Caenorhabditis elegans: one gene and its partner. The protein of the gene in region 2 interacts with the protein of the main gene of each other region in a pairwise test. Each region holds a gene or a part of one and is shown on either strand. Other genes may lie near its edges.

What was found. Proteins that work in one complex are often made in the same cells at the same time.
Region 1: the proteins of fars-3 (region 2) and ifa-4 interact in a two-hybrid assay, tested with the Caenorhabditis elegans proteins (one large-scale study listed by BioGRID).

Annotation. Positions count from the first base shown.
Region 1 is NC_003284.9:4,912,113-4,919,084, forward strand, and holds ifa-4 (Intermediate filament protein ifa-4), read right to left. Parts: upstream 3,868-6,972; 5' UTR 3,865-3,867; coding exon 3,774-3,864; intron 3,258-3,773; coding exon 2,974-3,257; intron 2,918-2,973; coding exon 2,633-2,917; intron 2,590-2,632; coding exon 2,494-2,589; intron 2,449-2,493; coding exon 2,335-2,448; intron 2,287-2,334; coding exon 2,113-2,286; intron 2,064-2,112; coding exon 1,775-2,063; intron 1,324-1,774; coding exon 1,244-1,323; intron 876-1,243; coding exon 600-875; intron 539-599; coding exon 500-538; 3' UTR 196-499; downstream 1-195. Other genes in the region: K05B2.4 (Acyl-coenzyme A thioesterase 1-like), read right to left, coding at 6,943-6,972.
Region 2 is NC_003280.10:8,459,592-8,466,563, reverse strand, and holds the start of fars-3 (Phenylalanine--tRNA ligase beta subunit), read right to left. Parts: upstream 1,717-6,972; 5' UTR 1,713-1,716; coding exon 1,655-1,712; intron 1,519-1,654; coding exon 1,463-1,518; intron 1,420-1,462; coding exon 382-1,419; intron 337-381; coding exon 1-336. Other genes in the region: zyg-9 (Zygote defective protein 9), read right to left, coding at 2,315-2,450, 2,527-3,455, 3,573-4,085, 4,284-4,630, 4,678-5,131, 5,181-5,333, 5,433-5,519.

The sequences.
Region 1 (6,972 bases), on a different chromosome or scaffold from region 2:
ATTGGCTTCATTCCTTACCGCATTATTCAATCATCAGACTCTGGAAAGTTTACATTTTCCCACGAATCACTTTTTTCTGTATTTGTTTCTATATGTCATTTCTCCTTACTTTCCCTGTGCATTTACCCATTTCTATTCCCCCAGTTGTCCAACAAAAAGTTCCCAAAAAAATAACCAAGCAAACTGATCAGAAATAAAATAAGCAGTTTATAGTTTACAAATGTTAATTGATGGAAAAAGCACATGGTAAAGCAATGGAAATGTTAGAGAGTTAGCCAAAAAATGAAAGGCTTTTCGTATGATATGAAACGAAAATCAATGTTTCACTTTGGCGGTTCAAAACAGTATTGGTTTATTCTGAAAATCCGAACATTTATAGGAATGGCTAACGGTGAGAACAAATGTATCTTGGGTCAAGATTCGATCAAACATTAAAAGTAGAGAGTTGAGGCAAGCGAGAGTAATTCCGGGTTCAATAGGATTTAATTGGTTGATGCAATTAGGTGTGTGAAGCACGTTGGCTGTGGGAAGCACGGTCCTGAAACAAGATAAATAACGTTTCCAGTCAGTTCCAGCGCGCATAATTTATTGACGCTTACCTCTCCTTCTTTGTTGTAGAGAGTAGTAACGACGTCGTTTCCGGTGCCGAACGAGTCTTCGAGGTCGTACACAAGACTATCGGGTGGGGAATGAACTCCCTGCCCACGTGCGAAAATTTTCACGCTCTTTTGAGCACGAAGGGTGAACTCGCGCGGGAAGGTGAACACGATTTCGCGTTTTCCGGCAATCTTCCGACGGAGTTTCCAGTCTCCGATGTTCTCATCACGTCTTGAGATGTTCTCCAGTACAATGTACTTTCCAGATGGCTCGGCTTCCTGAAAATGGTGGATTTTTTTCTTGCAAAAATGAAAAATCGAAAACACTGTTTTCAGAAATTTGGGCACGGCCACTTTAAGGAAAGTTTTTGTTCAGCATGATCCGACATATATTTGGTTTTGCACAGGACTAGGTTCTGAGTGAGCAGCGAACCCGGTTAATGTCGGATCATGCAAAATCGTCACACCAGGCACATATTTCTAAATTTTGTGCACGGCCATTTTGAAGAATAGTCATTTTCTGAAGTGTTCAGTGGAAATTGCAGGCAAAAACTCGCTCAAAAAATGTCCATGATTGCTTTCAAAATTTTGCTATAATTGTTTTTTTCAGAATATACATCAATTTTTGGGATGTAATTTCCACTCACCTGAATTGCAATATTTCCTTTTGCTGATCTGGAATACGACGAATGACTAGTCGTTTCACCTTTGAGAACTCGAAGACTCTCTGCAACAAAACACAAAAACTGATATAAATTTGCAACTAACAATGCCTCGTGACACCTATTACTCCTATTAATCTTACCGTGCGGCTTTCTGCGAATTTTATCACCGACAAGGTAATGGGTATGGGGAACGTCGTCAAAAGTGATAGTCTCGTATTGAGAACAATGAATTTCTGGCATGTTACTTTTTTGGGTTAAAGATGAAACAATGCTGTTCCAAATCAAAAGTAAAGCGATTAAATAGGAGTACTAAATTGACCAAGGTATATCAACAAGGGGACACACCCAGCGGTCTCTCTGGGCGGAAAACAATAATAAAGTTACGTTACACAGTTTGGTGACCGCATGACTTGAAAACTTGAAACAAGTTATCAGTGGACGTATACTTTAAATTTTAACCGTAATTTGTGGTCATCGTAACGTGAAGTAAACATTGAGTATACGCGAACCTACCAATTTCCTTGGTTTGATGAATAGATGTTGTCTTAACAACCTGCTCGACGAGCTGACGTAGACCTGCGCGATTCTCTTCTCCATCAAGCATCTTACGGTAGATCACAATTTCAGCATCGAGAGTCTGTTTTGTATCAATGAGCATTTGAAGCTCAACCATCAGGATCTTGCTCTCGTCACGAAGTTTGTTGATCGATGTGTCCTTATCGTTCAGTGATTGTTCATATGATCTCATATCCTCTTCCATCTGGTAGTTGAGGTCTTCGATTTGTTTTTCGAGGAGAAGATTCTGAAATGTTGACAAATAATATCAGATGTATATAGTCATCAAAACGAACTCTTCCTTCTAGATCCGCCATCTTTCCACGCATATCACCAAGTGTTGTGCGGAGTCTCTTAACTTCCTCGCGAGCATAATTCTGCTCCAAGCAGTTGCGAGAATTTTGAGTGTGAATTTCTTGAACCTTCAGCTTGTACCAAGACTCGATGTCAGTACGGGTAGTGTTGCTCACCTGTAATTCAAGTCTCTATTTTTTACCTCTTTTAATGACTTTTCTCACATGATCATATTCGCTTCTGATCTCACGAATAGCAGAGGATAACTCATTCTTGAAATATTCGCGGTTTTCCACCGTAGTATCACGAGATGCCATAGCGAGAAGATCGTGGATTTCCTGAAAAAGACACTCGTTGAAAGCTGTACTAATTGTTTTTCATACCGAATCATGAATTCTGCGAATGAAATCACACTCCTCCAGTAGTGTCTGCACTTGATTTTGATAATCGATGCGGTTCAGAGTTTCTTGTTCCACAGCCTGAAAGCTGTACATATAAATTAAGTTTTCTACTGAAACTTACATTTCTGGCATGATGAAGTGAGTCGATCATACGATGATTTTCGCGCTTCAAATGACCGATGCTTTCTTCCATCAGAGAAATTCTTCTTTTCAATAGCTCAATCTCGGCTTCCAATGCTCCAAGTCTTCCGAGCACATTGTCAAGCTCTTTACGTGTAACGTCAGCACCTCTTTCAGCCTCATGAAGTTTGTTTCTATAGTTGTTCAGCTCTTCAACAAGTTTCTTAATTTGATCTTCTAGCTGAGCTCTTTCTTTGTCAGAATCGGCGATCAGGTCTTTCGCACTCTGAACAGAATTTAAAGTTTCTCAGATTTTGCTGTATATAATATTCATTCACTTACTCTGAGCTCAGTCTCATACATAACTTTAACACTTGTAGAATCGTGTCCCCATTTTCCACGGAGCAAATTCAAGTCCTTCTCCATCTTGCGATTTTGAGCCTCCAAGAATCGAACTTTCTCAATGTAGCTCGCCAGGCGGTCATTGAGTTCACTCATTTCTTTTTTCTCGCGAGTACGAGATTCACGAATGGCAGAGGCGGCATGGCCTCCGAATGGAGACATGCCTGATGTTAGATTAGATCCACCGATCTCTGTGATCTTGAGTGTGCGGCTAGTTCCAGAAGCTGAAATTTGAATTTTTGGAAGTCAGTTTTTGTAGTTTGAAGTAGTTTTTAAACGTGTATCAGAACTGAAAAATAACACTTGACAAACATGACCATAAAACAAAAAAAATTTGTAGGTTTTCCAGAGGAATCAATTCATTAATGTTAATAATTTTTTAACACTTTTTAAATTTTTATTTTTAACTTTACAGTCAAAAAAGTTCACTTAATCATTTTTCACCAATCATAATTTTGGTAGTGAGACAATAAAACATTCCACAAGTTTTTTCTTTTAATTGAATTTTAATTGATTTTATTTGTACATTTTGAAAGTTCAGATCAGCAAAAATGTTCAAAACTTCTCAAAAGGTCAGGGTTGTTGTTTGAACGTTTGGCATATTGCCAATTGAATATTGTAAAACATAAATTAAAACATTTGGAGGGTTTAATTTTAATATAAATCATATAATACATCATATAATACAATTTTAAAGACAAAGTACTGCTCATATTCAAAATATTCATCTGAAAACTCACAAATAGTACTTCCATAGGTGGCGGTGGATTGCATTGTTCTGTTAAACGTTGGTCGAACCGAAATTGAGCTTCGGTATTCGCTCTCCGACATTTCCTACAAACATGGAAACTTAAATAGTTTTCAATTAATTGCATTTTCATAATCGAAAATTAAAAAAAAAACACAGCGAACTATTTTTCGATGAAAAAGTGTAGAAAAGTTACCTCATAGTAAATGACGTTATACATATGTGACAAGAATATGAGTGAATATGACACAGATTAGAGATGGATCGTTTGTAGGACACAATGACAATGCGCGAGATCTATTAGCTGTTTCGAGAGCCCTAACTCTTGACAGAACAAAAAACCGTGTTACAAATTGGCGCGCGCACTATTTATTTTGACGGGACTTGGCATGCGTGGAAAGAGGATGCCTAGGAGGGTTTACTCCTAATTGTCTGTATAGTCAAATTATAGAAGGAAAAAACCAGGCATGAAACAGAAAATGAAACAGAAACTAAAAACTGGGAGAGTGTAACGGTTCATCGAGCTATTGACGAACGCGCACTGACCGCTATTCAAAAGCGGACGGCGGTGGCGACGGCGATTCGGTGACCGATTACTAGATGCTAGCTGCCGTCATGGCGTGTTTATACACAATGCTACTGTTTCACAACGTTTCCATATTCATGAGTATTAAAGGATCGTAAACACCTTATATTATTCTGAATTGTTTTGGTTGTGAAGGGATGACAAAAGATAAGCACGTCAAAACTAAAATCGAAAAATGGAAAAATTTTTAGTATGCGATAAGGGGAGGATAATGGGAATACAAATTGACAAAAATAAGTTCAGAGCATCGAAACTGCGTGTTCTAAAATTTAGGTGAAATGTTTACGACTTGTTAAAAATTCAATGTTCAAAAGGGTCTTAATCTATAATTCTGAAATTTATTTGATTGTGTCTATCTCAGAAACTATTAGCGTTGGGAAAAAGTTCAATAAATAAAATTTAGCTGATTATATTGTCTACAGGTTCAGATTGTTTCAAATCTGCACCCCGCGATCTCGTTCTTAGATAAATCGGCCGACATCTTACAAGTCAGCCTTTGATTATGGTTCGTGATTTACTTGTACAGCCAAAATAACAATTATTAATGAAATTGTTTGTATACAAGTTCATTTTAAAACTGCCAAAAAATTGAAGTTAAACATTTAAAATAAAAACAACACTGAAAAAAAAACTCACGGCAAACGGTCTTCTTTAAAACGGAATTTAAAATTAAAACTTCCCTTAAAATTCAAATCTACATAAAATGTTCTGAAACATAATGCTAAGATGTCTGTTGATTAATGAAACTTATGATTTGTATAAAATAAATTGCATTATCATCAGGAAAAGAGTCATTTTTTCAGTACATGCGAACTTTATTAATTAAGAAACTAGAAAAAAAAACAAACTTTCCTTTTTTGTTTTTAAGTATTATACTAACGTTTAAAAGGAAGGTTGCATTGGAAAAATAGAACCAGTGTCATTTTTAAAAAAGCTCAGTTACAGTACTCCCTTTTAAGGAGACCGTGTCGGACAAACAAACCGTAGGTGTTGCCTGAAATATATATGCAAAATAACACGGAGGCGGAGCTGTTGCCTTCATGTACACAAACGAAACTCGGCCTGTAAAATCAGGGAGAGAAGAAAAAATGGGCGAAAAGGGCGGATTGATAGCGGGTATCAAAACAAACATTTGCATTTTGAGAGTCTCTTTTTAAACATTTTTTTACTTTTTTGCTTTACAATTGCGGGAGGGGGAGGTAGGGAAATAACATATTTGTTGGGTAGTGCATATGAGTCAAAAATTGCACGCAGGTGAAATAGTAAAAATTGAATTTTGGTGAGATTTAAATGAAAATTAAACTAACAACACACGTATTACTAATTCAACAACGTTTATTTGAAATGGAAATTATTTCTTAATGCGTCTTTAGCTTTTAATTGGTATTTTCTACTTACACTGGCAATTTTGCAATTTTTGTAAAATGAGCAACGCCACATCGCAAACTATCCGTATAAAATGGCACAAGACCGAAATTCATAATAAAAGTGGTATTTTTTGTTGTATTTTCCAAGAACGTTGACTAAATTGCTTAATTCTTCTGGTGCATTTTGGTTAATCATAACGCGTTTTTATGTCAACTAATTATTTTTTAATTTTCAATTATCTAATTTTTCTAATTTTTATCTATCATTATAATTAATCTAATTTTTAATTAGTAAGGTATGTTTTCAATTGATATTTAATTAAACACAGGTATGCGTTGCAAATATGCTAAATTATTAATAATTCAATAAAACCTAATGTCCTAAAACACGTATAAGTTGGAGAATTTTAGCGAAATTTAGCCTTTTGTCAAATTTTCAATTATAAAAAGTGCACGAGAAGGTTTAGGAAAGTTACAGTACTAGTGATTTCATTCTATATACTCAAATACAAAGCAACGCAAGTTTTTGATCTATGTAGACAATAAGCTTGGGGATAAACTACGTCGTCTGCAACGTATTAAAAACACATAAATAACAACTGGAAACTTTGCGAATCCATATATAATGTGAAAATTCAGCGTTTCGCTTCTAATAAAGAGTATGACAGTTTTTCGGGACAGATGCTAACATTTCTTGAAAAGTTAAACCGCGCCCGTAAACTGATTACAGTTCATATCCTATTCAGGGGTATCGGTTCGGAACGTAAAAACAGGTTATGTATTTTGTATTCTGAATATTTTTCATAAGAACTGACTAAGCCGTTTCGGTGCGCTCAACGTGCGGATTACAGTGTACCAATACACATATTGCAATACGACTCCCTTTGTTGTTGTCGTTCTGCATAATTATTCATGGAACGCGTAGGTTGAAGGCGATAATGATGTATCATTTGTACCTATTGCGGGTGGGGGACAATAACTTCACAATATGTATGTCTCTTTTCAATTTTGATTGTGACTCACCGGCAACCATCTCAAACGTTTATCAATTTGTCGTCGAACGCAATTTCAGATGCTTTTTTCGCTTTTTTTGTGTTCGAAATGATTGGAATTTCATTTCGACATACAAAGAGAGTATTTATATTCAAATCAATTTTTTGTAAGTAAAGAAATGGAGAGATGATTTTATTTGCACAGAGAAATGAAGTTCAAAGTTTTGCCAAATGTCTCGAATAGTC
Region 2 (6,972 bases):
TCTCTCATTTCTTGCTCCAACATCTGTATTTGAGTCTTTCACAATAACATCTTGAAGCTCAAACAATTTCAATGGGAGTGGCATGTCTCGGTTGGAAGACAGTGTTTTCAAAAGTCCGGGAAGAAGGGATGTTCGAGCAACTTGGAATTCAAGAGTTTTTGGATTTCCAATATGAACTGCATGAGAAAGTGCATCTGGCTGGCGGAGCTTTGAAGAAATGTCGTCACGGCTGCACAATGCGAAGTTCAAAGCTTCTGTCCATCCAGCGGCAGCAATTTCGATCCGGAGATTATCGCAGAGCTTGTTGATTGGGAAGGCCACAGCAACAGTATTGGACTGAAAATACTTATTTAGAATTTAATCTAGAAAATGAATAAATACCTCCGGAAGCTTTGTAATCAAGTTATTGTAACCAAAGGCCACACCAACATCTTCAGCAATGTCACATGCGTGGAGAATATCGTGTCTTGTGGGTGGAACAACAATTTTCAAAGTTTCCTTCGCAGCAACCTCAGCTTTCAACGACATTTTATTGAGAAGAGTTGCCATTTCTTCATCTTTCAGGTTGATACCAATCTTCGTATTGATTTCTGGTGTTGTCACAGTCATTTCACGATAGGAAAGAAGAGGATAAAGCTCTTTGACTCCAGTTTCCTCATACACAACTTCGACTTGCTCGATAGTGAACGGCTTGGCACAGTACTGAGAGAAAAGAGTCACAATAGTGTCAAGGACCACGAAAGCTTTCTGTTTATCTGTTGCAGTAGCCTCAATGAAGACGTTTTTGGTATTCAAAGTGATCTTGGAATGTTCTCCATTGATAATAGGCGGCATTGAGCAAACAACTCCGTTCTTATCATAAATCACAGGATACACTGGATGATTTTGAATAATAGGAAGATAAGCTTTTAAATGACTATCGGTGGAATACAGGGTCATCAGTTCTTCCGCAGTATACTCCTTCGTTTGATTAAGCGGTTTGAACTTGATATCTTTTGGAGCTTCGGCTCGGTATTCGAATGGCCCTTGAATGGTGTCCAAGTCGTGTGTTCCGATGGCAACAAGAGTACGCTTTCTGCAGATATTTTGATGCAGCTTGTCCTGAAGATCAATGAAAGAAGCATAGCTATCCGCATCGAATGAAATATCACGTAAAACTGCTCCGACGACAAAAGGACGAACTTGAGCAGTTTCCTTCTTCACGATAATTTTTTGAAGACCAGTCTTTGGCACATCGGCATATTTGTATGCTGGTGATGGGATTTCTTGTTTGAAAATACGAATTGCTCGAGCCAGCCCTTCAACGCTCAATAAATCATAGCGATTTGCTGGAATGTCAATTTTGTATACTTCTTGATCATTCAAATCAGACGCAGCTCTTGTTCCTTGCTCTTTTTCAACAGCGGCTTTCTCAGATGTCTGCAAATAAAATATGATAACAAATATTTGAACCAAAACGTACAATTTCGTCCAACTCCAAGCCATATTCGAAACAGAGCTCGTCGAACTCCTTCTCCGCTGAAAATTTAACATTATTGGTAATACAAACAATGTAGTTTACTACGAATTTATTTTGATATCCGTTCATTGCTTTTACTACTTTAATTCCAGTAGCAACATTTTTCAGACTACACTGCTTTTTTTAGAAACTTACAATAGACTCGCTTGAAGTGCTTGTCAAGGATGACTTTCTTGATTCCCACAGTTGGCATTTCGCTGAAAATATAATGAATTAACTATGGAAATCTAGAGAAATTAATCAAGAAGACCGAAAAGAAAATAGGATTAATTTGGATTGTCGGCAAATTCGGTGTCCTTAGTACCAACCAAGGTGTACACGGTGACGCCACATTGCGGACAATACTTTTTTTGGAATTTAATATATTATTAATTAATAAATGGAAAAAATAAATAAATTTCTGGAAATCAGAACCTTTAAAGCGAAACTCTCATGTATTTCCATAGAACAGTCATCGAACCGAAATTCTCAAATAAAATCCGCTAATCCGCCTTTTATTGAGAGTCTGTTTGCTGAAGTTATTTTTTAAAAGTTAAACAATAAATTTATTTCCGGGAATGAAATAAGCGCTAAAAAACTGAAATACTTCCGAGCTCTTCCACGAATATCAATCAATAAATTAAAGTTCCAGATCAGTAAATTCTTCTGGTAATCAAAATGATTTTACAATACAAAATACATTTCACAAGCAAATAAAATTGAAGCATAGAGCTAAAAAATACCAGTAAAAATGCGGGTGTAAGAAATTACTCGTTATTTTCGTGTTATGCACTTTAAGGGGCAGGGATAAAATTATCAATGATTTTTGACTCTGTCCAGTGTATGACGAATGTTCGCCATTTGGTCTCGGCTCAATGTGGTTCTCTTTGGACGGATCATGTTTCCACGCGCACGAGTGATGGTTGCGTCTCCACGAGATAGAGGTGTTCCACTGAAAATTAGTTTTTTTTAGTTTGGCAAAATATGAGATGAGAGCTAAATTACGTTCTTTGTCTTATGAAACTTACACAATCATAGTATCCATTCTGTTTATATCTGTTGGAGTTATTCTACCTTCCTCTTGAACAGGACCAGTAGCTGCCATGGCTTTGAAAACTGCCATTGACGATTTAACGACATGAGAGAGGTTAAAGTCAATCCTCTTCTTTCTGGAACACTCGCCGACTAGCTCCTTGATGAGCTCTCCCATTGGATTATTTTTGAGATATTCCATATACTCATTCCAAGATCGGTCACTGGATGCAATGAGAATATTCAGTTGCTCAATATGTTTAACTGCCATCGAGGTATCACGCAGAATATTGTCGATCGAAACTTGAACGCCGCTTCGCACTACAACTGCTTCATCCTCTTGTGGCATTCTGGCTTCCAATGTTCCAGGCATGATAGGATCAATTTTTCGTTCTCTCATCATTTGTAAAATCTTGTTGATCATACTGGTCAAGTGCATATGTGGTCGAGAAAGACGACGGGCAGCATCCAAGACGACGTCTCCTTGCTGAAGGATAACCCGCTCCAAATAGTTATCAACTATCAAAATGTGTGAATCGCTGATGTCCATTTTAAGTTCTGTGAGTGCACAAACGTAGAAAGCATTGAATGAGTCGACTATATCCGAGGCTCTCAGTTGAGCTCTTCTCTTTTCAAGTTCATCACACCATTTCGACGAGAGCTTCGACACAAGTTCGGTTATACCGGTGTTCATTTGAAGTGATTCAGTCATTGCCAGAATCAATCCGCACAACAGATTAGACAGCTCAACTCTGTAGATTAATCGCATTGCCAGTCGATTGAGAGATCTTGCCATTCCGTATCCGGACTCTGTGTTACCGATTTGGATGATACATCTGAGGACCGAAGAGATGATGGCTTTGACTGTGTCGGGGGACGCATTAAGTGGCTCAAGGCCGTGCTCAGTTTCGACTCCTCCCATCAACTGAAAAGATAAATTTGGATATATACATATACATGGCATGACTAAATGAAACAAAGAGAGCCAGATATATTTCGGAACTCCCCTTGATTACTATGACATATGAAAAATATAACTTACAATGAAAAGCATTTGCGTACAAGCGTCCATAGTTCCACTGACATCTCGTCCAGCATTGAATTCTTCAATCACCAAATCTAATTGAGCAGCAGATGCACGAAACACCAAATCGGCACGTCGATCAACAAGATGACGTTGTTCAGGTTGATTAAGAACATAAGTGACCTGGAACATAGCATCTTGAGCAACATCTGCAAGACTGCTCGAAATATTGTTGATGCTTCTTTGGATTTGATCAGAAGTGTCTATGGAGGAAATCGACGATGAAGAATTGGTCCGCTTCATTTGGAAGGTATTGTTTGACCAGCCATTGACAGGTTGTGGTGGAGTGATGACTTGAGTGCCATCAAGACGGCCCATGGCTGACGAAAAGACGTCGTCACGAAGTGCATAGCGAGATGAAGTTTTTGGAGGCATTGTGTCTTGTCGTATAGTGAAGGTGTCGCTTTGAACTTCTTCTGGTTCAGGTTCACGAGTACGAGATCGAGAAGCAGGACGACGAACAACCGAACCCTGAAAAACATGTAATTTTTCGTTTTCTAAAAACTGAACGAAACTTCGCGTGGGTATCGAATAGGGAATCACTACTAACTCCAAATATTTGAGACAAAAAAAAATATTATTTACTTCCAACTCGTAAGACTGTATGGCCGATTCAAGTGATCTTTCAGGGAACCTGACTCATTACGAGAAATATTTTAAACAACTAACCTGTTGTTGTGGCACTAAAATTTTGGGTCCTCCAGTTGGCGGCGAGGTGACAACACCAGATCCCGGTTTCACTCCTGTTCGTTTTATTCTTTCCTCAACCAACGACTTGTCCTTATCTGCCATTCTTCCTGCTGCTTTCCACATTTGATCACCTTCAAATTTGAAACAAGCCACGAGAACATTGATAGCAGCATTTCGGACGTTGACATCCTTGTCACCAACAAATGGAGCAACTGTTTTTTCGACTGATAACGATTTCAGCGGACTTATTCCAGCATTTGTAATGTAGTATTCAATGACTAGCAGACACTCGGAACGTTGGCGAGCGTTTTTCGACTTCAGCGCATCTGAAAATAAAAATTACTAGAACATTATTGATCTTCTTCTCTCATACCAAGTAGCATGGGTGTCATCTTGAGTGGACCGACAACATCTGAAAGTACATTGACAATATCCCTGACAGAAGTTCTCATATTGTCTTTGGCTTCTCCTGTCTTCAATAACAAGTATGGAACAAATGCAGACACCTCTTCTTGTGACATTGGAGTTTCTGTATCCCGAATTAGCTCCACAATAACTTTGCACAATTCCAAAACTTTGATAAGTGCGGCCGGGTTGGTCTCGAAAAATCGCAAAGTGCACCATTTTAATAGAAGATCGCTGTTGGATAGAAGAGATCGAGGAGATGTATCGGCAAGGCGAACCAGAGAATCAAGAGCCGCAAGATGCTGCTTGAAATCTTTGTGGAAAAGTTGACTCATTAGAGACACTTTCGCTTGGTTTCCGAGCAGGGTTTGAAGTTGCGAGATATGTTCATCAGTCGGAGCTTGGAAATTCCATTTGACTAACTGCAAATTAATTAGAATGTATGATTATTAACTCATTTAAAGCAATTACTTTTAATTGCTTCTCTTCCTTGATTCGTTGCTTTTTATCCTCGTTGTCACTGAGCAAAAGTTCGGCTTTTGGTGCAACAACGGGAGGCTCGTTTTCTTCGTTCTCCTTCACGGGAACTTTCTTCTTCTTATCGCCTGGTGGTGGTTTCAGGGGCTGAAAAAAAAATAATAAAAAATTGTAAGTTTTCAGTTTTAAACGACCACACAATCGATACAAATTACTATATGGAAATAAGAACACAATTTTAATCACCTCATCCTCTTCCTCGACCACTTCCTCATCTTCCGGTTGTTTCTTCGGTGGAGCTGTTTTTTTCGGTGGTGCAGCAGCTGGCGGAGCCTAAATTTGACAACACATTCACAATAAAATTACAAATAAGCAGTACAAAAATCATCAGTGAATACTTCTAAATACTATCATTACTTATATATAAAAAAATAATTCCGTTTGTTCCATAGTTTGTAGTCTATGTAGTCTTTGTAGTCTGTGACGTCACACCCAAAGTCACTGAGAATTGTGGGCGGGGTCTGTCATCCTTCGCGGTGAGACTCATCGTGGCGAGACCCATCGTGGTGAGACCCATCGTGGCGAGACCCACCGTGGTGAGACCCGTCGTGGTGAGACCCATCGTGGTAATACCCACCGTGGTGAGACCCGTCGTGGTAAGACCCAAAATTTTGGCGGGAAATTTAAATTTTCTGTGAAAAATAATTTGGCGGGAAATTTAAATTTTCTGTGAAAAATATTTTGGCGGGAATTTTAAATGTTCTGTGAAAAATATTTTGGCGGGAAATTTAAATTTTCTGAGAAAAATATTTCGGCGAGAAATTTAAGTTTTCTGTGAAAAATATTTTTGCGGGAAATTTAAATTTTCTGAAAATTCTAAAATTCTGGAAATCTAGAATCTTCTGGAAATTTCGAAAAAATTCTCGAATGTTCCAGAACTTTCTAGAAAAATCGAGAAAATTCTGGAATGTTCCAGAACTTTGTAGAAAAATCGAGAAAATTCTGGAATGTTCCAGAACTTTCTAGAAAAATTGGGAAAAGTCTGGAATGTTCCAGAACTTTCTAGAAAAATTGGGAAAAGTCTGGAATGTTCCAGAACTTTCTAGAAAAATTGAGAAATTTCTGTAATGTTCCAGAACTTTCTAGAAAAATTGGGAAAAGTCTGGAATGTTCCAGAACTTTCTAGAAAAATTGGGAAAAGTCTGGAATGTTCCAGAACTTTCTAGAAAAATTGAGAAATTTCTGTAATGTTCCAGAACTTTCTAGAAAAATTGGGAAATTTTTGGAATGTTCCAGAACTTTCTAGAAAAATCGAGAAATTTCTGTAATGTTCCAGAACTTTCTAGAAAAATCGAGAAAATTCTGGAATGTTCCGAAAAATTGAGCTTAGAGCTTTAGAAGAGGTAGTTATTCGGGAGTTTATGGGGGATCAAGTCAAGGTACTGTAGTGTTACTATAGGGGTACTGTAGGTATACGGTAGGGTTACTGTAGTTTTGGAAAAATTGGCATTTCGTCCTTTGAAGAGGTATTGGGTTAGGAGTCGGTGGAGGATAATGTCAAGGTACTGTAGTGGTATTGTAAGGTTACTGTCTTGGTCAAAAAATAACAGAAAGTTTTCATACTGTCTGTGAATTTTTGAAACATGCATGTCGTAGAAAAATACATACATGTAACAGTGCCAGTAAACCGCGTTTTAAGTGTTTCAAGTTTTTTTCATGATGAGAAATTTTTTGAGTGATTGAAGGTATGTGTGTCAAATACTTTTAATGGTGCCAGGCGTTGCCC